Macaca fascicularis: one gene and its partners. The protein of the gene in region 1 interacts with the protein of each later gene in a biochemical or structural test. Links are inferred from orthologs where the notes say so. Each region holds a gene or a part of one and is shown in the gene's direction. Other genes may lie near its edges.

What was found.
Region 2: the proteins of CDH1 (region 1) and CTNND1 form a complex in vitro, tested with the Homo sapiens proteins (5 studies listed by BioGRID and IntAct, with this or other methods). The link is inferred for Macaca fascicularis from reciprocal best matches to the Homo sapiens genes CDH1 and CTNND1.
Region 3: of the proteins of CDH1 (region 1) and CCNB1, one has a biochemical effect on the other in vitro, tested with the Homo sapiens proteins (3 studies listed by BioGRID). The link is inferred for Macaca fascicularis from reciprocal best matches to the Homo sapiens genes CDH1 and CCNB1.

What each region holds. Positions count from the first base shown.
Region 1 is NC_088394.1:64,896,577-64,904,663, forward strand, and holds part of CDH1 (cadherin-1), read left to right. Parts: intron 1-489; coding exon 490-634; intron 635-1,972; coding exon 1,973-2,148; intron 2,149-2,423; coding exon 2,424-2,552; intron 2,553-3,625; coding exon 3,626-3,808; intron 3,809-6,145; coding exon 6,146-6,390; intron 6,391-8,087.
Region 2 is NC_088388.1:15,794,578-15,802,664, reverse strand, and holds part of CTNND1 (catenin delta-1), read left to right. Parts: intron 1-1,460; coding exon 1,461-1,924; intron 1,925-3,056; coding exon 3,057-3,240; intron 3,241-4,085; coding exon 4,086-4,203; intron 4,204-5,304; coding exon 5,305-5,458; intron 5,459-5,858; coding exon 5,859-5,876; intron 5,877-6,311; coding exon 6,312-6,380; intron 6,381-7,830; coding exon 7,831-7,958; intron 7,959-8,060; coding exon 8,061-8,087. UniProt on the Homo sapiens protein: Key regulator of cell-cell adhesion that associates with and regulates the cell adhesion properties of both C-, E- and N-cadherins, being critical for their surface stability.
Region 3 is NC_088380.1:74,833,605-74,841,691, forward strand, and holds part of CCNB1 (G2/mitotic-specific cyclin-B1), read left to right. Parts: intron 1-1,052; coding exon 1,053-1,235; intron 1,236-4,304; coding exon 4,305-4,463; intron 4,464-4,939; coding exon 4,940-5,176; intron 5,177-5,459; coding exon 5,460-5,600; intron 5,601-5,890; exon of another isoform or gene 5,891-5,992; intron 5,993-7,160; coding exon 7,161-7,271; intron 7,272-7,439; coding exon 7,440-7,547; 3' UTR 7,548-8,087. UniProt on the Homo sapiens protein: Essential for the control of the cell cycle at the G2/M (mitosis) transition.

The sequences.
Region 1 (8,087 bases):
ATTTTTGTATTTTTTGTGGAAACAAGATCTTGCTATGTTGCCCAGGCTTGAGCTCAAGCAATCTGCCCACCTTGGCCTCCCAAAGTGCTGAGATTACATGAGCCACCATGCCTGGCCAGGAAGTCATATATTGATGCCAAATTCAGAAATATCTGGGGGAAATGCTAGACCAGAAGGACCAGAGCAAGTTTCACCCTGCATGGAATAAGAGTTCTTCAGGACCCCACCTTTATCTCTAGGCCTGAAGCCCTGGTCCTCATGTGGGAAATGGGAGGTCTGAGCCAGTGGGGGTGTTCCACTCCATGGGTCTTACCTTGTTATGATCTCATTGAAGCAGCAGCAGCACATGTGTGAGAAAAGTCACCCACTGGGGTCTCAGAGAGTGGGAGGGTGTGGCAGCCCAGGGAGTACACTCTGCTCTGGCCGGGCTCCTTCTGCCACATTTTCTTCCTCATCAGAGCTCAATTCACCCTCACTTGGTTCTTTCAGCTCTTCTCTCATGCTGTGTCATCCAACGGGAATGCAGTTGAGGACCCAATGGAGATTTTGATCACGGTGACCGATCAGAATGACAACAAGCCCGTGTTCACCCAGGAGGTCTTTAAGGGGTCTGTCATGGAAGGTGCTCTTCCAGGTATATCCACTAATGAGAATCTGAATATCCAGAAAGACTCTTAGGTTCTTTGGACCCCAAAGTGTTGTCCAACCCCGAAGGTTGTGTAACTAAAGCTGACCCTTCCTATGGACAGAACTTCTTGGGAAGCCATTGTTGTGTTATATGCATGTGTATAACAGTCTACCTATGGAAACACATAAAACAGAGTTTAAGAACAATCTTCCCTTTTTTCTTGTTAAATTTTTTTTTTTAGGCTGGGCATGGTGGCTCACGCCTATAATCCCAGCACTTTGGGAGGCCAAGGCGGGTGGATCACCTCTAGTCAGGAGTTCAAGATCAGCCTGACCAACATGGTGAAACCTCATGTGTACTAAAAATACGAAAAAATTAGCCAGGCGTGGTGGTGTGTGCCTGTAATCCCAGCTACTTGGGAGGCTGAGGCAGGAGAATTGCTTGAACCTGGTAGGTGGAGGTTGCAGTGAGCTAAGATTGCGCCACTGCACTCCAGCTGGGGTGACAGATCCAGACTCTGTCTCAAAAAAAAAAAAAAATTTATAGAGATAGGGTCTCACTTTGTTGTCCAGGCTACTTTCAAACTCCTGGCCTCAAGCAATCCTCCAACCTCAGCCCCACAAGCTGCTAAGATTATAGGCATGAGCTACTATACCTGGCTAAGAACAACCTTCCTAATTAAGGAACAGATCTTTGCCAGTACCTTAAAGTCCTAAACAATCTCCCTTGATCACATTCTTTTCTCTCTTCCATAAAGATAACCACACCCTAGGCTGGGCACGGTGGTTCATGCCTGGAATCCCAGCACGTTAGGAGGCCGAGGAGGCAGGCAGATCACCTGAGGTCTGAAGTTCAAGACCAGCCTGACCAACATGGAGAAACCCTGTCTCTACTAAAAATACAAAGTTAGCTGGGCGTGGTGGCGCATGCCTATAATCCCAGATACTTGGGAGGCTGAGGCAGGAGAATCGCTTGAACCTGGGAGGCAGAGGTTGCAGTGAGCCGAGTTTGCGCCGTTGCGCTCCAGCCTGGGCAACGGGAGCAAAACTCTGTCTCAAAAAGAAAAAAAGATAACCGCACCCTGACTTTTGTGGTAATCATTCCCTTTCTTTTCTTCATTACCATTTGTCTATTTATACCTGAATAATAAATTGATAGTTTGAGCTTTCTTCCTCCCCTAGCACTTTGGTAAGAATTCTAGGAATTAGATAATGGGGGAACTCTGACATGGTACCACCCCCATGTCCCCTCCTTTATCCCTCAGGGCAGAATTGGATTAAGCAATACTGACCCTGTCCCAAAGGGTCAGTTTGTCTAAACCTTCGTCTCCTTGAATTCTTCCAGGGACCTCCGTAATGGAGGTCACAGCCACAGACGCGGACGATGATGTGAACACCTACAATGCCGCCATCGCTTACAGCATCCTCAGCCAAGATCCTGAGCTGCCTGACAAAAATATGTTCACCATTAACAAGAACACAGGAGTCATCAGTGTGGTCACCACTGGGCTGGACCGAGAGGTCAGATGTCAGGAGGATCCAGAGGGTGTGGAGGACAAATGTATATTAGCTCAATCCCGTGGACAAAGCAAAATCCTGCTAGGCCACCTGTCAGTTAATACAGTGTTGGTCTGAGCTTTGCATCTAAGCTTCTGCCCAGAGGTTCCGTGCCTAGAAGACAGGCTGACTGGCGTGAAGCAGATGGTTAAATATTCTGGTTCCATGTGTTGGGCTGGGCTAGGCCAGAGGTGGCTGGTAGTCCTGGTCCTAACTTGGTTGCATTGATCTCTCTGCAGAGTTTCCCTATGTATACCCTGGTGGTTCAAGCGGCTGACCTTCAAGGTGAAGGGTTAAGCACAACAGCAACAGCTGTGATCACAGTCACTGACACCAATGATAACCCTCCAGTCTTCAATCCCACCACGGTAATTCTACAACTCCTCAGAGGGTTTCCAAAGAAAGGTCTTTTGTTGTTCGTGAACTAAGTTTCACCACTGCTCATGGGCAAAGTCTTTGAAAACTCTCTCCAGACTAGTGAATGTTAACTTTAAACTTAAAAGCAAGCATCTTGAGATGGCAGTTGTCTTTTAGCATCTTTTTTCCACCCTTGGCCTGGGGCCAATTGGCTCAAGATTGTGAAGTTGCAGAAAGCACCTACTGATTTCCTATCTGCATATGGTACATTTTTATAGCAACTATTACTGGGTTTCATTTCTTCATTGAACACGTATTTTCTAAGTTTATATTAGGCACTGTGTTAGACAGTGGAGATACCATCACACACAAAGCAGACAAAGATTCTATTCTCATGGTGTTTCTACTATAGCTAGGAAGACATCTTATGAGAGTTATTGAACACCAAGGATATTACATGCATTCAAGGAGAAGGTGTTGAGAACCAAGTAGGGGAAGTTTAAATCATCCTGTATAATGGCCAGGCGTGGTAGTTCACACCTGTAATCCCAACAAGTTGGGAGGCCAAGGCTGTTTGGAGTTTGAGACCAGCCCGGCCTTAAGGACGGAGTTTGAGACCAGCCCGGCCAACGTGGCAAAACCCCGTTTCAACTAAAAATACAAAAATTAGCCGGGCATGTTGGTGCATGCTTGTAATCCCAGCTATTTGGGAGGCTGAGGCACGAGAGTTGCTCGAACCCAGGAGGTGGAGGCTGCAGTGAGCTGAGATTGCACCATTGCAACCCAATGTGCCCATTGCCTGGTCTCTCCTCGTCACATCTGCTCCTCGAAGCTTGCTTTCAGTTAGCCAGGTGTGGTGGCGCATGTGTGTGGTCCTAGCTACTCTGGAGACTGAGGTGGGAGGATTGCTTGAGCTCAGGAGGTTGAGGCTACAGTGAGCCATGATCGCTCCAATACACTCCAGCCTGATGACAGTGAGATCCTGTCTCAAACAACAAAAAAAGAGGATTCCTTTAGCCCCCTGAGACTCAGCTCTGCTAGCAGTCTTGGTACTTTGTAAATGACCCATCTCTTTCCTCTGCAGTACAAGGGTCAGGTGCCTGAGAACCAGGCGAACTTCGTAATCACCACACTGAAAGTGACTGATGCTGACGCCCCCAATACCCCAGCGTGGGAGGCTGTATACACTATATTGAATGATAATGACGGACAATTTGTTGTCACCACAAATCCAGTGACCAACGATGGCATTTTGAAAACAGCAAAGGTTTGTATGGTATATGGCAAGATGCAGAAACTGGCATCCTTGAAGCTGTTCATGCCCTTGTCCCCTGGTATCTTCTTAGAAGTAGATTCGCTTTGGCAGGGGGACAGGGTGACTTTCCCAGATTCTAGTGGACCATGTGGGGTTTGCAGTGGCTCTTCCTGCCCATGTAAGAAATCAAGAAACTGGGCTGGGTGTGGTGGATCACGCCTGTAATCCCAGCACTGTGGGATGCTGAGGCAGGTGGATCACGAGGTCAGGAGTTCGAGTCTCTGCTAAAAATACAAAAATTAGCTGGGCATGGTGGCACACGTCTGTAATCTCAGCTACTCGGGAGGCTAAGGCAGAAGAATTGCTTGAACCTGGGAGGTGGAGGTTGCAGTGAGCCGAGATCGCACCATTGCATTCCAGCTCTGGGCAGCAGAGCAAGACTCCATCTCGGGGGGGAAAAAAAAGAGGCCGGGCGTGGGGGCTCATGCCTGTAATCCTAGCACTTTGGGAGGCCAACGCGGGCAGATCACAAGGTCAAGAGATCGAGATCATCCTGACCAACATAGTGAAACCTCATCTCTACTAAAAATACAAAAATTAGCTGGGCGTGGTGGCGTGCTCCCACTACTAGCGCGGTCCCAGCTACTAGGGAGGCTAAGGCAGGACAATCACTTGAACCTGGGAGACAGAGGTTGCAGTGAGCCATGATCGTGCCATGCACTCTAGCCTGGCAACAGAGTGAGACTTCGTCTCAAAAAAAAAAGAAATCAAGAAGCTAAGGCTTCTTGATGGCTCATGGTGGCTCATGCCTGTAATCCCAGCACTTGGGGAGGCCAAGGGGGGCAGATCATCTGAGGTCAAGAGTTTGGGACCAGCCTGGACAACATGGTGAAACCCTGTCTCTACCAAAAATACAAAAATTAACCGGATGTGGTGGTGCACACTTGTAATCCCGGCTGCTTGGGAGGCTGAAGCAGGAGAATTGCTTGAGCCTGGAAGACAGAGGTTGCAGTGAGCCAAGATCATGCCACTGCACTCTGGTCTGGGCAACAGAGTGAGACTCTGTCTGGAAAGAAAGAAAGAAAGAAAGAAAAGGCCGGGCGCGGTGGCTCAAGCCTGTAATCCCAGCACTTTGGGAGGCCGAGACGGGCGGATCACGAGGTCAGGAGATCGAGACCATCCTGGCTAACACGGTGAAACCCCATCTCTACTAAAAAATACAAAAAACTAGCCGGGCGCGGTGGCGGGCGCCTGTAGTCCCAGCTACTTGGGAGGCTGAGGCAGGAGAATGGCGTGAACCTGGGAGGCGGAGCTTGCAGTGAGCTGAGATCCGGCCACTGCACTCCAGCCTGGGCGGCAGAGCGAGACTCCGTCTCAAAAAAAAAAAAAAAAAAAAAAAAGAAAGAAAGAAGAAATCAAGAAGCTCTTACACAGGATCCTGAAATTGAAAAAGGCTCTTTCCCAAAACATTCTCTTTCCCTTAGCTCTTTCCATTTTGCAATGAGAGGGAAAATGATTTACTGGTCTCTGCTCTTGTGCTGGTTTATTTTAGAAGTGGGGCAGATATGGTTGTTTTTGAAAAATGTCCTAGAAACTTGAAAACTAGCCAAGCACAGTAGTGCATGGCGGTGGGTCCAACTACTTGGGAGGCTGAGGTGGGAGGATCACTTGAGCCCAGGGGGTTGACACTGCACTGAGCTATGATCATGGCACTGTACTCTAACCTGGGCAATATAACGAGACTCCGTCTCTTTAAAAAAAAAAAAAAAAAAAAAAAGGTAGCCAGGCACAGTTGCTCAGTCCTGTAATCCCAACACTTTGGGAGGCCAAGGTGGGTTGATCACCTGAGGTCAGGTGTTTGAGACCAGCCTGGCCAACATGGTGAAACATCATCTCTACTAAAAATACAAAAAATTAGCCAGGTGTAGTGGCAGGCTCCTGTAATCCCAGCTACTAGGGAGGCTGAGGCAGGAGAATTGCTTGAAGCTGGGAGGCAGAGGTTGCAGTGAGCCATTGCACTCCAGCCTGGGTGACAAGAGCAAAAATTCTGTCTCAGAAACAAAATAAGGAAAGAAACTTGAAAACTAAGAATTTGAGTGAATTGCTTGTTGAAGTGACTGGATCCCTAGAATAGCCCCAGAGCTTTGACTTCCTCTTGAGTAGGTGAGCAGATCTGAGAAGCCCTGGTAAGTAATTATGGTTTCTGCCATTGAAAGTCATGGCAGAAACCACAGTTACTTTTGCACCAACCTACTGTATTACCAAAAGCAACAGTTAAGGATTTAATTTCATTTTTACTAACACAAAATGTTTTGTTTTGTTTTTAACTTCATTGTTTCTGCTCTCTAGGGCTTGGATTTTGAGGCCAAGCAGCAGTACATTCTACACGTGGCAGTGACGAACGTGGCGCCTTTTGAGGTCTCTCTCACCACCTCCACAGCCACTGTCACCGTGGATGTGCTGGATGTGAACGAAGCCCCCATCTTTGTGCCTCCAGAAAAGAGAGTGGAAGTGTCCGAGGACTTTGGCGTGGGCCAGGAAATCACATCCTACACTGCCCGGGAGCCAGACACATTTATGGAACAGAAAATAACGTAAGTGTGAGGATTTTTCAACTGACTTACAGCAGCTGGGTATTTTATATCATTTTATATATAAATCAATAATACATAGTTCATGGCATTTTGTCATTTGTCTGTACAAGACCATTCTCTTAATTTATTTTTTATTCCCTTTATCTGTACTCCTTTCACCTGTTCCCTTCCCTCTACAGACAGCCGTTCTTGGTCTGATGTGCTGCCTCTCTTTGAGCTCTTGTAGTATGGTAGAAATGTGATTTTACTTTGCATACACAATAGTGTGTTTTTTTGTGTTTGGAGTCTCACTTTGTCACCTAGGCTAGTATACAGTGGTGATCTCTGCCTACTGCAGCCTCTGTCTCCTGGGTTCAAGCAATTTTCATGCCTCAGTCTCCCACGTAGCCAGGATTATAGGTGCCCGCCACCACGCCCGGCTAATTTTTGTATTTTTAGTAGAGATGAGGCTTCACCACATTGGCCAGGCTGGTCTCGAACTCCTGACCTCAAGTGATCTGCCCGCCTCCCAAAGTGGTGGGATTACAGGCGTGAGCCCCCGCACCCAGCCCATAGTGTTGTGTTCTGAGTAGCTTACTATTAGTATTTCTCCTTTCAAACTTGAAGGTACCTCTATAATGTAAATCACACAGATGCTGAAAACCCACATACCAACCAACCAACTACAACACTTGCTTTAAAATACTCTCATTTTGGGCTGGGTGCAGCGGCTTATGCCTGTAATCCCAAAACTTTGGGAGGTCTAGCAAGTGGATCATGTTGAGGCCAGGTGTTCAAGACCAGCCTGGCCAACATGGTGAAACCCCTGCCTCTACTAAAAACACAAGAAATTAGCCAGGCATGGTGGTGCACACCTGTAATCCCAGCTACTTGGGAGGCTGAGGCACGAGAATCACTTGAACCCAAAAGGTTGAGGTTGCAGTGAGCTGAGATCGAGCCACTGCACTCTAACCTGGGCGACAGAGTGAGACTCCATCTCAAAAAATAATAATAATAATAAAAACTCTCATTTTCTATATGTAGCCAATGGACTCCTCATAATCTAGAGATATTTCTACATGCTCCGAACTGTAAGGCCTGGCAAGATGGGTTTTAACTGAAGTTTAAAAGAATGGTGAAAAGTCAAAGACAATAATGTAGGATTTGGTTCTGTGATGAAACCCTGGATTGTACAGTTTCCAGGCTGGGCTGAAAGCTTGCAGTAGTGAAATAGATAGTTCAAAGCATCTCCTGGGGCAGATTCAGGGACCAGGTCTCTAGTGTCTGTTTGCAGAGGCCCTTACACCTGGAACAATGACCACTTGATGTAATTCATTGCTTTGCACTTCCAAAGAAGTGAGGCCAAGCCCGCAGGTTCTCAGAGTCCTTTCCTCCTTTGATTTCTTAGTTTCCCTTTCAGAGCCTTTCCATGACCCTAGTAAATAAATGAGCAGTAGATCTCTGTTAGCTTCCCTTTAGCTCCCATTAAATGCCAATAGTACAGCCCACCCACAAGTCAACAAGGCAACCTGCATCTCCAGATGTTCATGACAGGAGAAGAGGTGACATGTTGCTACCATTTAGGAACTACTGTATTGTTTTGGGGGAGCTGGTCTGGAGGAGTCTGCTTTTAAAAATAAATAAGGATTATAGTAATCATTGCTTCAGCAAGAATCATCCATAGATGCCAAATCTGTTGGGTGAAAGTTAGTTGCTGA
Region 2 (8,087 bases), on another chromosome or scaffold:
GTTTGTTTGTTTTTTGAGATGGAGTCTTGCTCTGTTGCCCAGGCTGGAGTGCAGTGGTGCGATCTCAGCTCACTGCAACCTCCACCTCCTGGGTTCAAGTGATTCTCCTGCCTCAGCCTCCCAAGTAGCTGGGATTACAGGTGCCCACCACCACGCCCAGCTAATTTTTATATTTTTAGTAGAGATACGGTTTTGCCATGTTGGCTATGCTGGTCTTGAACTTCTGACCTCAGGTAATCCGCCCACCTCAGCCTCCCAAAGTGCTGGGATTACAGATGTGAGCCACCACGCCTGGTCCTGTTTCCGTGTTATTTTAAGACCATCTTGGTCATGTTTTACTAAATACTTTGTCCATCTGAATCACTGTTGCATAGTTGATGTTGATACCTGTGAGGCAGCCCTTCTGCTCAGGGCAACTTTGAGTATTTGGTGACAGTGGGAGTGGTTTTGTAGAACAAACAACGGCTTATTTGGAGAGCTCCACACAATAGATTCTCCTCTCCTGTGGGAGCCAGAAGAGATGAGCTCACAGATAATGGGTTTCTTTCTTCCTGGTAGTTATGAATAAATAATAGTGTGACAGACTCACCCTCTAGTGGTTGTTGGTAGTACTGAAACAGGAAGAATTGTCTCCTGGTTTGATTTTTCTTACTTTCAATTGCTTTCTCTGTTCCTAGTGGCTGGGCTTCCCAAATGTGATGTTGGTGAATAGGCTCAATTTTGAAAGAACTGGAGGTACTGTCTTTAGAAATTGGAGGATGGAATCTTACCGCTAACACATTTGTTGAGTAGCAGACATGACCTTGGGATGACTGTGAAAATTACTTTTCAAGTTTATACCTCATCAGTACCAAACCCAGATCCTCCTATAATGTAGCAGGAAGCCCTTTATTAGTTTTTCTCTATCAATCCATCTTTTATAATTTCCAAAATAGGATAAGGAGAAGCTTAAATATGAAATGCATTTAAAGGTCTTAACCCGCCAGTTGTTTCCTGTGTGTAAATGCCTAATTTCCTGTTTGGTTAAGGAACTGTTCTCAGACTTCTGTGGCATTGAGTCAGTTGCTTTGGTTAATTCTGCTTTTTGAGAGTTTATCCTGATCTCTACCTAGAAAAGTTAATAGCTGTCAGGTATCATTCAAGTAAATGATAAATAATAAGGATTTGGTTCTTTCTTTTTGATTAGCCTCTCCTGAATGCTTGTTACTTTCTAACCCTGCAGACTTCAAAGAAAAAAGTGTAGTTTTAATTAAATTGTAGGTGCCTTTAAGATTATTACCTTTTATTTTTCCTAACCCATTGAGGAAAATTGATCAGTATATTATTCATGCAAAGGAGAGAGAAGATGAGCACACTGAAACTCCAGTTAATCCTGCTTTGCAGATGAGGGTAATGGGAATGTCCAGGAAGCTAGCCATAATGACTTGATGTATTCTCTTGGTTATTCCAAAACTTCTCAGGAGCTACGAAGACATGATTGGTGAGGAGGTGCCATCGGATCAATACTATTGGGCTCCTTTGGCCCAGCATGAGCGAGGAAGTTTAGCAAGCTTGGATAGCCTGCGCAAAGGAGGGCCCCCACCTCCTAATTGGAGACAGCCAGAGCTGCCAGAGGTGATCGCCATGCTTGGATTCCGCTTGGATGCTGTCAAGTCCAATGCAGCTGCATACCTGCAACACTTATGCTACCGCAATGACAAGGTGAAGACTGACGTGCGGAAGCTCAAGGGCATCCCAGTACTGGTGGGATTGTTAGACCATCCCAAAAAGGAAGTGCACCTTGGAGCCTGTGGAGCTCTCAAGAATATCTCTTTTGGACGTGACCAGGATAACAAGATTGCCATAAAAAACTGTGATGGTGTGCCTGCCCTTGTGCGATTGCTCCGAAAGGCTCGTGATATGGACCTTACTGAAGTCATTACCGGTGAGTTCTAGGCCTAAGGAAAATTGCTAAGTCACTGTTACTCTCTAGTGATGTTAAGAACTAGAGGGATTTCCAGACCTTTTACTTTTGATGAAAGGTTGTGAACTGGTGGCCTTGGGTCAAATCCATCTCACAGATTTGTTTGGATCACACAGCATTTTTGAAATTTTAAAGAACTGGTTGCTGATGTTTAAAATTCAGAAGATTTCACTTAAAATTCCAGATTCTTGGCTTCTATTAAAAATGTGGAAAAGTTGTTAACAATGGATCTCTTTTCTTTTCTAGCAGTATTTGGTCTGAACTGATTGGAGCATGTGTTCTCTAATTTACACTAATCTCCAACACATTCTATTATCTGACCAACTACAGCCGTTTAGGATGTTGTTTCCCAAACATGGAGCTGTCAACTGCTATTTTTTCACATGCTTGTAATTTCTTTTAAATATCTTCCTCTCTTGACTCACCTGCTTGGCCCATATAGACATTTAAGCTTGTGGTCCTTGCTTTATTTAGAGCAGTAGTTTTTCAGATTGTGGGTTGTGATCTATTTGTGTGATCCATTAGTGAATAAAACACAATTTTGTGGAGCATAATCAGCATTCCAAGGGAAAGGAATAAAGAAAAAGTAATATAGACCATTGCTTCTCAGTTGTGGGCCATTTTGCCTGTCCTGCCCTGAGGACATTTGGACATTTGTAGTGTTGGAGATGTTTTTGGTTGTTATAACTTAGAACAGGGGAGAGGGAGTGCTACTGGCATCTAGTGAGTAAAGGCTAGGTATACTGCTAAACATCCAGCAATAGACAAGACAGCTCCTCATAGCAAAGAATTATCTGGCTCAAAATGTCAGTAGTGCTGAGGTTGAAAAACTCTGGTATAGATAGATCGGAGAGCATTGCTTATCGTTAAATATTGCTTTACAAAACCTTATTTCATGATCTGTATGTTTATTTTGAGCTGTAATATAGAACATGTTTCTTGCTGAGGTTCACAAACAAAACTTGAATATTACTACAAGGTATTTGGTCACTGGGGAAGACTGAGAAATGATATAATAGGGGATTCTCTTTGATGTTCTTCAGACATGTTGTCTTGAATGCTCAAGAGCCATCTGATGAGTTGTCTCTTCCAGGAACCCTGTGGAATCTTTCATCCCATGACTCAATCAAAATGGAGATTGTGGACCATGCACTGCATGCCTTGACAGATGAAGTGATCATTCCTCATTCTGGTTGGGAGCGGGAACCTAATGAAGACTGTAAGCCACGCCATATTGAGTGGGAATCGGTGCTCACCAACACAGCTGGCTGCCTTAGGTAACAATAGGGGCTTTGAGAATATGAAGGTGAATTTTTGAGGACTGACTTAAATTTCCTTAAAAAACAATTAAAATTCTTTAGCCTATTCTTTAGCCTCCATTCCTATCTGTATTGCATACTGTAACTCCAACCTGTCTTTCTACCTTTGTTGCTATTCTCTTATGCGTACCACATGTACCTATGTCAGTTTTCTTGCTGTTCCCCACACATCCTCTTCACTTTTATGCCTCTTTGACTTTGTTCATCTACTTTGGTAAGCTTTTGTTCAGCATCTACCACATGTAAGGTGGTCTAGTCCTGGACTTGTCTGTGTCCTTGCCCTAGTTATCTGTATTTCAAGTCAGGCTGTGATAAATGCAGCAAAAGAGGTACAGAGCACTAGGAGGTTAGGGCATGGGTGAGGAAGGTCTGTTCTTTCCGTGAATGCCTTTCTCTTCTTATTTATCTTTTTGTAGTTAAACTCAAGTGCCTTTATTTTATTAAAATTTTCCTGACTTATTTTTATATGCTATACATGCTGCTATATAATCTGTCTCTCTTTGGAATACACCTCTGTGTGCTCTGTTCTACATATGTATTATACTTCCATACAAGAAGTGTATATTCCATCTTGAATTACTGCATCTGGTATATATCATTAACCCCTACCCCACAGTGATACAGACATTCAGAAGGTGGGGACTGTTAATCAACTTTCTCTGAACTGCAGTACCTTGCTTATGATAAGTATTCGCTATTATAGTGAGTAGAAAAAAATATTCAGGAATCTTGTAGGTGTTGAGGGATATTTAAGGGAGGATTTCTGGATTTGAGTCATCTTGAAGCTTCTGGTTTCCCCTCAGGAATGTAAGCTCAGAGAGGAGTGAAGCTCGCCGGAAACTTCGGGAATGTGATGGTTTAGTTGATGCCCTCATTTTCATTGTTCAGGCTGAGATTGGGCAGAAGGATTCAGACAGCAAGGTAAGTGCTTGTCTTACCTTTAATGACTGAGTGAATTCCATTCACCAGAACTATGAAGTATCTGTAGCTCAGAGACCTATCATCTCAGGCTTTCAAGTAATGTTAACTATTTTTACTGGCCCCTACCCCTTATTTTTGAGACAGAGTCTTACTCTGTTGTCCAGGCTGGGGTACAGTGATGTGATCTCAGCTCACTGCAACCTCCGCTTCCTGGGTTCAAGTGATTCTCGTGCCTCAGCCTCCCAAGTAGATGGGACTATAGGCGTGCACCACCACGCCCAGCTAATTTTTGTATTTTTAGTACATTTCACCATGTTGGCCAGGCTGGTCTCAAACTCTTGACCTCACGTGATCCATCCACTTCAGCCTCCCAAAGTGTTGGGATTACAGGCGTTAGCCACTGTGCCCAGCCAAGCCCCTACTCCTTAAAGTGGGCATTCAACTTAAAAGAAAACATGTGTTTTGTTCATTTGTTTGTTTTTAGAGATGGAGTCTGGCTCTGTCGCACAGGCTGGAGTACATTGGCATGATCTCGGCTCACTGCAACCTCTCCCTCCTGGGTTCAAGCGATTCTCCTGCTTCAGCCCCTGAGTAGCTGGGATTATAGGCACCTGCCACCATGCCCAGCTAGTTTTTGTATTTTAGTAGAGACAGGGTTTCACCATGTTGGCCAGGCTGGTTTTGAACTCCCGACCTCAGGTGATCCACCTGCTTCAGCCTCCTAAAGTGCTGGGATTACAGGTGTGAGTCACTGTGCCCAGCTTTTTTTTCTTTTTTTAAAAATCTGTCACCTATATATTTTAAAGCTGCTTAGCTGTCTTCCAAAATTGTACATTGTCTAAGTAGTAAGAATGATGATCCAAGTTTCAGTCACACACCAAATAGTGGCAGAAGCCAATAAGTCCATAGTTGGGCCTTCCATTAGCCTGAGGCTACAGGGATTTCAAGAAGCCTGGAGCGCTTAAGAGGCATCCTGAGAAGTTATGGATTGGGTTATGCATTTGAATATCAACATTTTAATACCTGAGTCATGGAAACCTGTGGAGAAATCACAACAGACATTCTTTTTTCTCATTGGCCCTTTTATCTTGTGTACCTAAGCTTGTAGAAAACTGTGTTTGCCTCCTTCGGAACTTATCATATCAAGTTCACCGGGAGATCCCACAGGCAGAGCGTTACCAAGAGGCAGCTCCCAATGTTGCCAACAATACTGGGCCACATGCTGCCAGTTGCTTTGGGGCCAAGAAGGGCAAAGGTGAGTCTTGGTTCCTGTTTCTTACTCTTTAATGTGGGACAGGGAAAGGAAGGAACACTTTAGCTTAAGATACAAAATACTTGGCAAGCAATATGGGAGTCTGCCTGGTTACAGATGTCTTTTTGCTTTGCTGCTTCTCCTGTGTTGTGTGCTTCATTCAAGGTTTGGTGGTGGGGTGATGGTGGTGGTGGTGGTGGTATCAATGAGTGGGGCAGTGGAAAATGAGAACTCAACTAATCTGGGACCTTCTTCCCCATACGTCCTTTGCATTTTCTGTGTTTTTCTTTTCTTCTCTGTGCTTCCCTGCTTATTTGCCCATGATTCTGCTGACATCTTTCTCCTGCATTTTTCTTATTTCTTTTCTCTTCTCTGCTTTCTGCCTTGGGTGATGCACTGGAAGATGAGTGGTTCTCCAGAGGTGAGTGGAGTCTTTTAAGGTGCTTATCTACTTCTAATTTGCATGTTTTGGTTTTAGCTTCCCTAGTATGTCCTTGCCTAACCTTTCCCTGTCTATGCATGTAGGAAAGTTCAGTTGAGGAAGACACTGAAACAGGTTTAGCTCTTTGGAGCTAATAGCTCATGGCATGCTGTTTCTGGGCAGCAGTCCCCATTATCAGAGCTCAGGACAATAGCATCAACAATGGTCATCCTCATCTTACCTATCTGCTGCCTGTTTTCTATCCTTGTTTCTGAATAGTCCCCTGCTGGAACAAGTTGCCCCCACCTGCCCTTTGTCCCTCGTGGTGCATCTGTGATCAAAAGGTTCTGACCGAAGAATGAAAAATGTGCCAGGTGGAATCTTTTCTATTTTAAACTGACTTACCCCTTTTCCTGCCCTTTTTCGTTTTTATAGGGAAAAAACCCATAGAGGATCCAGCAAATGACACAGTGGATTTCCCTAAAAGAACGAGTCCAGCTCGGGGTAAGTTATCTTCTCAGTCTCCAAAGGTCTCATAAACATAGTACAAAGATAAGATATTTGGTAACTTAACAGCAGACTTTATGTAATATGTTTATTGTCCTCTCTTTTCCAACTTACAGACTGAAATGATTGTGAAAGTATTGGGAAGCTGTATAGTATTACAGCAGTAACTTACAAAGGACTACTTGTTAAGGCAGTTATTCAGGTTACTTGAGGATAGAATAAGGTCCTGATGGTAGTCTAGAGCAGAAATTTGGGAACCATAAATGACCACTACAGTGCCTGAGACTTAAACCTCACTTTTAAAAGAAGCTCCTTTACTAAGAAAGATACTTTTTAGGCTGGGGGCGGCGGCTCATGACTGTAATCCCAGCACTTTGTGAGGCTGAGGCGGGCAGGTCACCTGAGGTCAGGCGTTTGAGACCAGCCTGGCCAACATGGTGAAACCCTGTCCCTACTAAAAATGCAAAAATTAGCTGGGCATGGTGGCGGGTGCCTGTAATCCCAGATACTCTGGAGGCTGAGGCAGGAGAATCGCTTGAACCCGGGAGGCGGAGGTTGCAGTGAGTTGAGATCGCGCCACTGCACTCCAGCGTGGGTGACAGAGACTCGTCTCCAAAAGAAAAGAAAAGATAATTTTTACACTTTACTATAAGAAATTTGGATCTTTATATTCATCAATACAGTGAGTCCAAAGTTCACAGCTCTCCATGGATATAAAAATTATAAACGTTTAATCTGTAATGGACCGTCGTAGTAATTGCAAAGATGGGAAGAATGACTGGGTTAAGTTAGAAATAATTGATTTGAGATGAGGAATTTTTAACCTTGAGTGCTGTCAATGAGCTAAATGGAGCCCCTGAGCGCTCATGGTAGAACCAAAGGCAAAGCTATGGGAGAGGAGGCAAGAAGGAAGGAAAGAGAGGAGTTGAGTATAATGAGTTGATATTTGTTCCAATCTTACCATGGATTCATTAGTCTTTTTTTTTTTTTTTTGAGACGGAGTCTCACTCTGGCTGGAGTGCAGTGGCGTGAACTCGGCTCACTGCAAGCTCCGCCTCCCAGGTTCACGCCATTCTCCTGCTCTTAGCCTCCCGAGTAGCTGGGACTATAGGCGCCCGCCATCACGCCCAGCTAATTTTTTGTATTTTTAGTAGAGACGGGGTTTCACCGTGTTAGCTAGGATGGTCTCAATCTCCTGACCTCGTGATCTGCCCGCCTTGGCCTCCTAAGTGCTGGGATTACAGGTGTTGAGCCACTGCGCCTGGCCTCATTATTCTTAAGACATGGAATTTGGCCTCTAAATTTGCTGTAGAGAGTGTGAGAGAGTTTAGGGAACCTGATGGTATAGAACATCAATCGGGAGTATTAAGGCTGAACTCCAGCCAGCTAGAGCCTGGTTTATTGGTACTGATTAGCACCTTCTGCCTTCTTTTTCTCTTTTGTGCAGGCTATGAGCTCTTATTTCAGCCAGAGGTGGTTCGGATATACATCTCACTTCTTAAGGAGAGCAAGACTCCTGCCATCTTAGAAGCCTCAGCTGGAGCTATCCAGAATTTGTGTGCTGGGCGCTGGACGGTAAAGTACCTTTTAGAAAATGGATTTGGAGATGGGAAAACTTAGATAACTAGTTTGCTGCCATTTGTAATTTGTTCTACCCCTTTCTATGTGCTATTCTAGTATGGTCGATACATTCGCTCTGCTCTG
Region 3 (8,087 bases), on another chromosome or scaffold:
TGATCCGCCAACCTGGGCCTCCCAAAGTGCTGGGATTACAAGTGTGAGCCACCGCGCCCGACCTTATTTCTTTACTTTGTCTACTAAATTCAGAGTCCCTTGAGGATGCCATGAAGTCAATGCCTTGTAGAGTTTGACTTGAAGAAGGGGCTCAATAAATGTTTGAACAATGGGATAAAGGGAGCTTGAAGGAAGTGGTTAATGGTAATGAAGTTAATCCTTAGTAGTCAGGATAGAATTTATGTTATTTTGAGTAGTGAGAAGCAGTTTATATTTTGAAATAAAGACTAAAGACTGAACTGTCCTTTATTTGGATTAACTTCACATGTTGCTGATAAAGATTAATTACTTCTCAGTTTCCTTTGCAGGAAAGTCTAGAATGTGAATTTATTTGCTTCCAACTTTAAACTGACTCACTCTGAGTTGGCATTTCACTCTTTTTTTTTTGCCCAGGCTGGAGCAGAATGGCGCAATCATAGCTCACTGTATCCTCAAACTGCTGGGCTCAAGTGATCCTCCTACCTTGGCCTCCTGAGTAGCTAGGATTATAGGCAGTTGCCTTCATGCCCAGCTAATTTTTTGTAGAGATGAGTTATTGCTATATTGCCCAGGCTGGTCTCGAACTCATGGTCTCAAAGGATCCTCCCACCTCAGCCACCCAAAGAACTGCGATTACAGGCTTGAGCCACCATGCCCGACCTCATTCTTTTTAATTGAGTAATTAAATGATCACTTTCTTTTTTAACAAAGACAGGGTCTTGCTATATTGCCAAGGCTTGTCTTGATCTCCTGGCCTCAACCTCAGCCTCTCAAAGTGCTGAGATTAAAGGCGTGAGCCACCACGCCCAACCCAAATGATCACTTTGGATGTTAATCACTTCCTAAAAAGAAATGGAATAAGTATGAAAAGATACTTTTCCTTTAAGGAAATGAATTGTATGTTGATTCAGGAGAACACTATCTTGAGTTGGTACCAATAACCTGACCTTCAAGCCCAAACTATAGTGCTTACTCCTATTTGCTCTTGTTTCAAGAGATCTCTTTGTTTTAAGGTCGATACTCCCTCTCCAAGCCCAATGGAAACATCTGGATGTGCCCCTGCAGAAGAAGACCTGTGTCAGGCTTTCTCTGATGTAATTCTTGCAGTAAATGATGTGGATGCAGAAGATGGAGCCGATCCAAACCTTTGTAGTGAATATGTGAAAGATATTTATGCTTATCTGAGACAACTTGAGGTCAGTATTATCATTAGTTTTTTTTCTAAACTGCATCTAACTTTATGAAAGTCTTTTCTATCAATAGTTCATAATAATTCAAGCAGGACTTGGGCAGCATTTCTTAAGAGATCGCACTTTCAAATTCTCCTTCATGGAATACCTAAAATAAAAAGTCACTAAATCAATGGAGTCTATTTGCCACTTTGTGCAGGAAAGTTCGAAGTCAGGGTGGATACTACTATCGGTCTTTCTGAAGGAAAGTCCACAGATTGAATTTGATATGTATATATGCAATCTCCACCGTATTTGGAATGGTTAAGTCCCAAACTCTGCATTTTAGGTAATAATGGGTCAGCAAGTGGATGAGAATGTAGAATATACTCAAAGACTACAGCCACCCCTAACACAAGGCATTTTGTGTTAGTGTGGCTGATGTGCGTCCAGTTGTTGGTGAAATTATTTGTGCCCAAAAGGAGTACACTCAAAAGCTACTTTTTGGTTCACTTCAATTTGATCCCACTTTTGAAACTTTCTCTTAATGGCATTTGCCCTTTTCCTACAAACACAAGTATTCTATATGGCAGCATAAACATAGTAGCGTCAACTATACCGTTATCACATTTACCTAGTTTTTTGGTGTGTGTGTGTGTGTGTGTGTGTGTTTTTTTTTTTTTTTTTTAGAGGGAGTCTCACACTGTCGCCCAGGCTAGAGGGCAATGGTGCCGTCTCAGCTCACTGCAATCTGCCTCCTGGGTTCAAGCAAGTAATTCTCCTGCCTTAGTCTGCCGAGTAGTTGGGATTGCAGGCACACACCACCATGCCTGGCTAATTTTTTGTATTTTTATTTGGTTTTGGTTTTTTGAGACAGGGTCTTGCTCTGTTGCCCAGGCTGGAGTGCAGTGGTGCAATCTCGGCTCACTGCAACCTCTGCCTCTCGGGTCAAGTGATTCTCATGCCTCAGCCTCCTGAGCAGCTGGGATTACAGGTGCCCACCACAACACCCAGCTAATTTTTGTACTTTTAGTAGAAATGAGGTCACCATATCGGCCAGGCTGGTCTCAAACTCCTTAGATGATCCACCCACCCGGCCTCCCAAAGTGCTGGGATTACAGGCATGAGCAGTCGTGCCCAGCCCCCAGTTGTTTTTAATGCATCGTCTTAATGTCATCACTGACATCTCTTGCCTGCTCCTTTGGGGCCTCTCCTTTTTCTATAGGATTCTTCTGCAAGACTTCTATGCCAGGAGTAGCCTTCTGCTTTGAGTTTCTTCTGCCATCTTTTTAGGGCTTTTTAAAGTTGTGTTCTAACTTTGGAGGATACCTTTTTTTTTTGAGACAGTCTCGCTGTGTCACCCAGGGGGTGTGCCGTGGCTCACTGCAAGCTCCGGCTCCCAGGTTCACGTCATTCTCCTGCCTCAGCCTCCTGAGTAGCTGGGACTACAGGCACGTGCCACCATGCCTGGCTAATTTTTTGTATTTTTAGTAGAGACAGGGTTTCACCATGTTAGCCAGGATGGTCTCGATCTCCTAACGTCATGATCCACCCACCTTGGCCTCCCAAAGTGCTGGGATTACAGGCATGAGCCACCGTGCCCAGCCTGTAAATGTGCTGTTTCTTGATGCTTCGTTCTTGTTCTGTGCAAGGCGGCCATATATGCAAAGCAACCCCCCAAATGTCAGAGGAGCTGAGAAACCAAGGAATGAGGCAGATAAATGGAGTTTGCTGGTATTGGGTGACTGATGAGGGGGAATTTACAGACATAAGTCTGGTCTTTGATGGCTGTAAGATGTAGATCTCTGCACTGTAACCCCTCATACCCACGGCTTGAGTATGTATACATTTTCTTGGGGAAAGTATACGTGCTCTAGAATCAATGTGCGGGTGGCTGAGAGAATGCTACAGACATCATAGCCTATAATGTATACAATAGTATGAAGGGCTGTTTTGGAGGAGAGGCCAAACTTAAAGTGAATAGGCAGAAGGCACATTGGATTAGCATTTAAAATAAAGTCACTCTTGTCCCCCACAGTTCTTAGCTATGTTGCTGTTGGGCTTTAACCCTGGAGCAGGCAGGAGTGTTGTAGTACATGGGTTCCAGCTGCCCTGGGAGTTTGATATTTTCTCTACGTAAAGCTCAGGTTCTAACTTTAGAGGCTCAAGTGAAAAGATCTGAGATGATAGTATAGTATCTTTATTTGGAAGGGAGTGGACTAGCAAGAGTTGTGGTGAATTGAATATCGTAAGACCTGACAATATAAAAAAGCTGTCACACTGTCCTATCTAATGTTTGCCCTTTTTTGGCGGGGGGGTGAAGGGGGAACAGTCTCTCTCTGTCACCCAGGCTGGAGAGCAGTGGTGCAATCTCGGCTACCTGCAACCTCCACCTCCTGGGTTCAAGCAATTCTCCTGCCTCAGCCTCCTGAGCAGCTGGGACTACAGGTGTGCGCAACCATGCCCAGCTAATTTTTGTATTTTTAGTAAAGAGAGGTTTTGCCATGTTGGCCAGGCTGGTCTCGAACTCCTGGCCTCAAGCAATCTGCCCATCTCAGCCTCCCAAAGTGCTGGGATTACAGGCATGAGCCACCACGCCAGCCTTAATGTTTGCTTTCTTTCTTGGTGATGGTGTTGTTTGTGGTTACCATATGAATAATTGAATTAAGAACTGATACAAAGGCTGGGCACAGTGGCTCACGCCTGTAATCCCAGCACTTTGGGAGGCCAAGACAGGTGGATCACGAGGTCAGGAGATCGAGACCATCCTGGCTAACACAGTGAAACCCCGTCTCTACTAAAATACAAAAAAAAATTAGCCGGGCGTGGTGGCGGACGCCTGTAGTTCCAACTACTCGGGAGGCTGAGGCAGGAGAATGGCATGAACCCGGGAGGCGGAGCTTGCAGTGAGCCGAGATCGCGCCACTGCACTCCAGCCTGGGCGACAGAGCGGGACTCCGTCTCAAAAAAAAAAGGAACTGATAGAGATTCTAAATGCCCCAGTGCTACTTACTGTAGGAACTAACTGATCTTTCTGGACATAAATGTGTCACATGGAGTCATGTTTCTAAGAATAATCGGCATTTTCTTTTGCAGGAAGAGCAAGCAGTCAGACCAAAATACCTACTGGGTCGGGAAGTCACTGGAAACATGAGAGCCATTCTAATTGACTGGCTAGTACAGGTTCAAATGAAATTCAGGTTGTTGCAGGAGACCATGTACATGACTGTCTCCATTATTGATCGGTTCATGCAGGTAAGCATTTCAGTAAGTTTTCCCTTCCAGGATTCTAGCCGAGTCATAAGAAGCTGACGTTTTTGGGCTGGGCCGGGTGTGGCGGCTCATGCCTGCAATCCCAGCGGGCGGGTGGATCACGAGGTTAGGAGATCGAGACCATCTTGGCTAACACAGTAAAACCCCGTCTCTACTAAAAATACAAAAATTTAGCTGGGTGTGGTGGCGGGCGCCTGTCGTCCCAGCTACAGGAGGCGGAGGTTGCAGTGAGCTGAGATCGCGCCATTGCACTCCAGCCTGGGCGACAGAGTGAGACTCCATCTCAAAAAAAAAAAAAGAAAGAAAGAAACTGACTTTTTCAGCTAAAATCTTTCTTGGGGGATATGGTATCATTAATTTAAGATTTTGCAATGGGAGAATGTCTTTCTACCTCTCCATCATAGCTCTGTGTCTCCTTTTCAAACATGTTATTCATTGTGTTGAAATTCCCATTGCAGAATAATTGTGTGCCCAAGAAGATGCTGCAGCTGGTTGGTGTCACTGCCATGTTCATTGCAAGCAAATATGAAGAAATGTACCCTCCAGAAATTGGTGACTTTGCTTTTGTGACTGACAATACTTACACTAAGCACCAAATCAGACAGATGGAAATGAAGATTCTAAGAGCTTTAAACTTTGGTCTGGGTCGGCCTCTACCTTTGCACTTCCTTCGGAGAGCATCTAAGATTGGAGAGGTACAGGTTTCTTAAGAAACCTTTCGGTATGGGTACATTAGGGAACACTGCTGCTGACCAAGCAAGTCGAATTCAACTGACCTTATATTATACCTAACTACATGGGGAAGAGAGAAAGTTGTTCTTTATTTTTAGTCAGGCTGCATGTTAATATTAGGGCTTTCCGTGGGCATTTGAGAGTTTGTAGACAAACATTTGTAGTTAAAAGATACATATGGGCATGCAGGTTAGTGCCAAATGAAAATTTTCTGAAAGAAACTCAGTGACACAGGTTTTGTTTCAGGTTGATGTTGAGCAACATACTTTGGCCAAATACCTGATGGAACTAACTATGTTGGACTATGATATGGTGCACTTTCCTCCTTCTCAAATTGCAGCAGGAGCTTTTTGCTTAGCACTGAAAATTCTGGATAATGGTGAATGGGTAAGCTCTGTCCCACAGAACTCCTAAGCTTTTAAATTGTAAAGAATGTTTGACTAAATACAGAACTTTTGTTATTAAAGGGCAATTCAAGTGATTCATAAATATGGGATCTACTGAAGGAATAGTTTAAAAAGATGTCATAGAATGTTTCCACATGGTTTTGTTTTTGAGACAAGGTCTCGCTCTGTCGCCTGGGCTGGAGTGCAGTGATGCAGTCTTGACCCACTGCAACCTCAGCCTCCAGAGTAGCTGGGACTGAAGGTTTCTGGCTAGTTTTTAAATTTTTTTCATGTCAGACGGGTAATATGCCCACGTTGTAACAAGGTTTGAGGGTGGCACATTTCACACGTTCACATGAACACCCAATCATCACACTTATAAACTACAAGAGTCGCCCACCAGCCTGGGCAACGTAGCAAATCCTCATCTTTACAAATATATATATATATATATATATATATATATATATATATTCAGGTTGTTGCAGGAGACCATGTACATGACTGTCTCATCTTTACAAATATATATATATATACACACACAAATATATATATATACACAAATATATATATATACACACACAAATACATATATATACACAAATATATATATATAGAGAGAGAGAGGCACATGTCTGTAGTCCCAGCTACTCTGGAGGCTGACCTTTATATTTTTTGTAGACATGGCGCCTCCCTATATTACCCAGGCTGGTCTTGAAACCCTGGGCTCAAGCGATCTACCCACTTCCACTTACCAAAGTGTTGGAATTACAGGCGTGAGCCATTGCAACCAGTCAAGTGTTTCCATTTCTTTGCCTAATTTCAACTGTATTCCCTTTGAGAAAGGTAGAGCAACTTTTACTCCTTAGAGGAGAAACTTGAAGGTCAAATGACATACAAATAGTACATTCATATTCATTGATTCAGCAAATGCCTCTCCTATGTGGCAGGCACTACCCTAGGTGTTAAGAATAGAACTATGCAGCCGGGTGTGGTGGCTAACACCTGTAATCCCAGCACTTTGGGAGGCCAAGGTGGGCAGATCACGAGCTCAAAAGTTCAAGACCAGTCTGACCAATGTGGTGAAACCCTATCTCTACTAAAAATACAAAAATTAGCCAGGCATGGTGGTGCAAACCTGTAACCCCAGCTACTCAGGAGGCTGAGGCAGGAGAATCACTTGAACCCGGGAGGCAGAGGTCGCAGTGAACCAAGGTCACACCATGCACTCCAGCCTGGAGTGAGACTCCATCTCAAAAAAAAAAAAAAGAAAGAAAAGAATAGAACTATGACAAAGTTGGCCTCAAGGAAGAAGAGTCTAGTTTTAGGGTGGGCAAGTCAACAATTACAATAGTGCAATTGTGTTTGAGCAGAGGTTCCTATAGAAGCATGAGAGCACCTAGGAAAGGAGGAGTCTTTAGCTTTGTCTTACATTTCACTTATATTAATTAATGATACAGTACCCTTCCCTTCCCCACTCCTGAATAACATCAAACATCTAGAAACTTTATGAAAATCATTATCGATTGAGCATTTTTAACATTAACTTTTGTTGTCTTAGACACCAACTCTACAGCATTACCTGTCATATACTGAAGAATCTCTTCTTCTGGTTATGCAGCACCTGGCTAAGAATATAGTCATGGTAAATCAAGGACTTACAAAGCACATGGTGAGTCAATATAGTGGCATTGTAAGATGTCAAAAAGTCTAATAATTCAAACTTAATGCCTGCAAATGCCTGGTTTATTTTTAATGAGTTAATGTTTTAAATGAATACCTGTATCATTGGATCTTGTGATTTTTTCCCCTCTTTAATGGCTATCCTTTTGTCTTCCAGACTGTCAAGAACAAGTATGCCACGTCGAAGCATGCTAAGATCAGCACTCTACCACAGCTGAATTCTGCACTAGTTCAAGATTTAGCCAAGGCTGTGGCAAAGGTGTAACTTGTAAACTTGAGTTGGAGTATATATTTACAAATAAAATTGGCACCATGTGCCATCTGTACATATTACTGTTGCATTTCCTTTTAATAAAGCTTATGGCCCCTTTTACTTTTTTATAGCTTAACTAATTTGAATGTGGTTACTTGCTACTGTAGGGTAGCGGAAAAGTTGTCTTAAAAGGTATGGTGGGGAATATTTTTAAAAACTGCTTTTGGTTTACCTGGGGATCCAATCGATGTATATGTTTATATACTTGGTTCTTGTTTTATGTACCTGGCTTTTACTTTATTAATACGAATTACTGAAGGTGATGGAGGTATTTGAAAATTTTACTTCCATAGGACATACTACATGTAAGCCAAGTCATCATGGAGAATCTGCTACGTAGTTCTATTTTAAAGTAAAAGTCTACCACCAAATCCCTAGTCACCCTGTTAGAATTGTTTCTTCTGGTGATTGCTGCCATAATTCTAAGTTATTTACTTTTACCACTATTTAAGTTATCAACTTTAGCTAGTATCTTCAAACTTTCACTTTGAA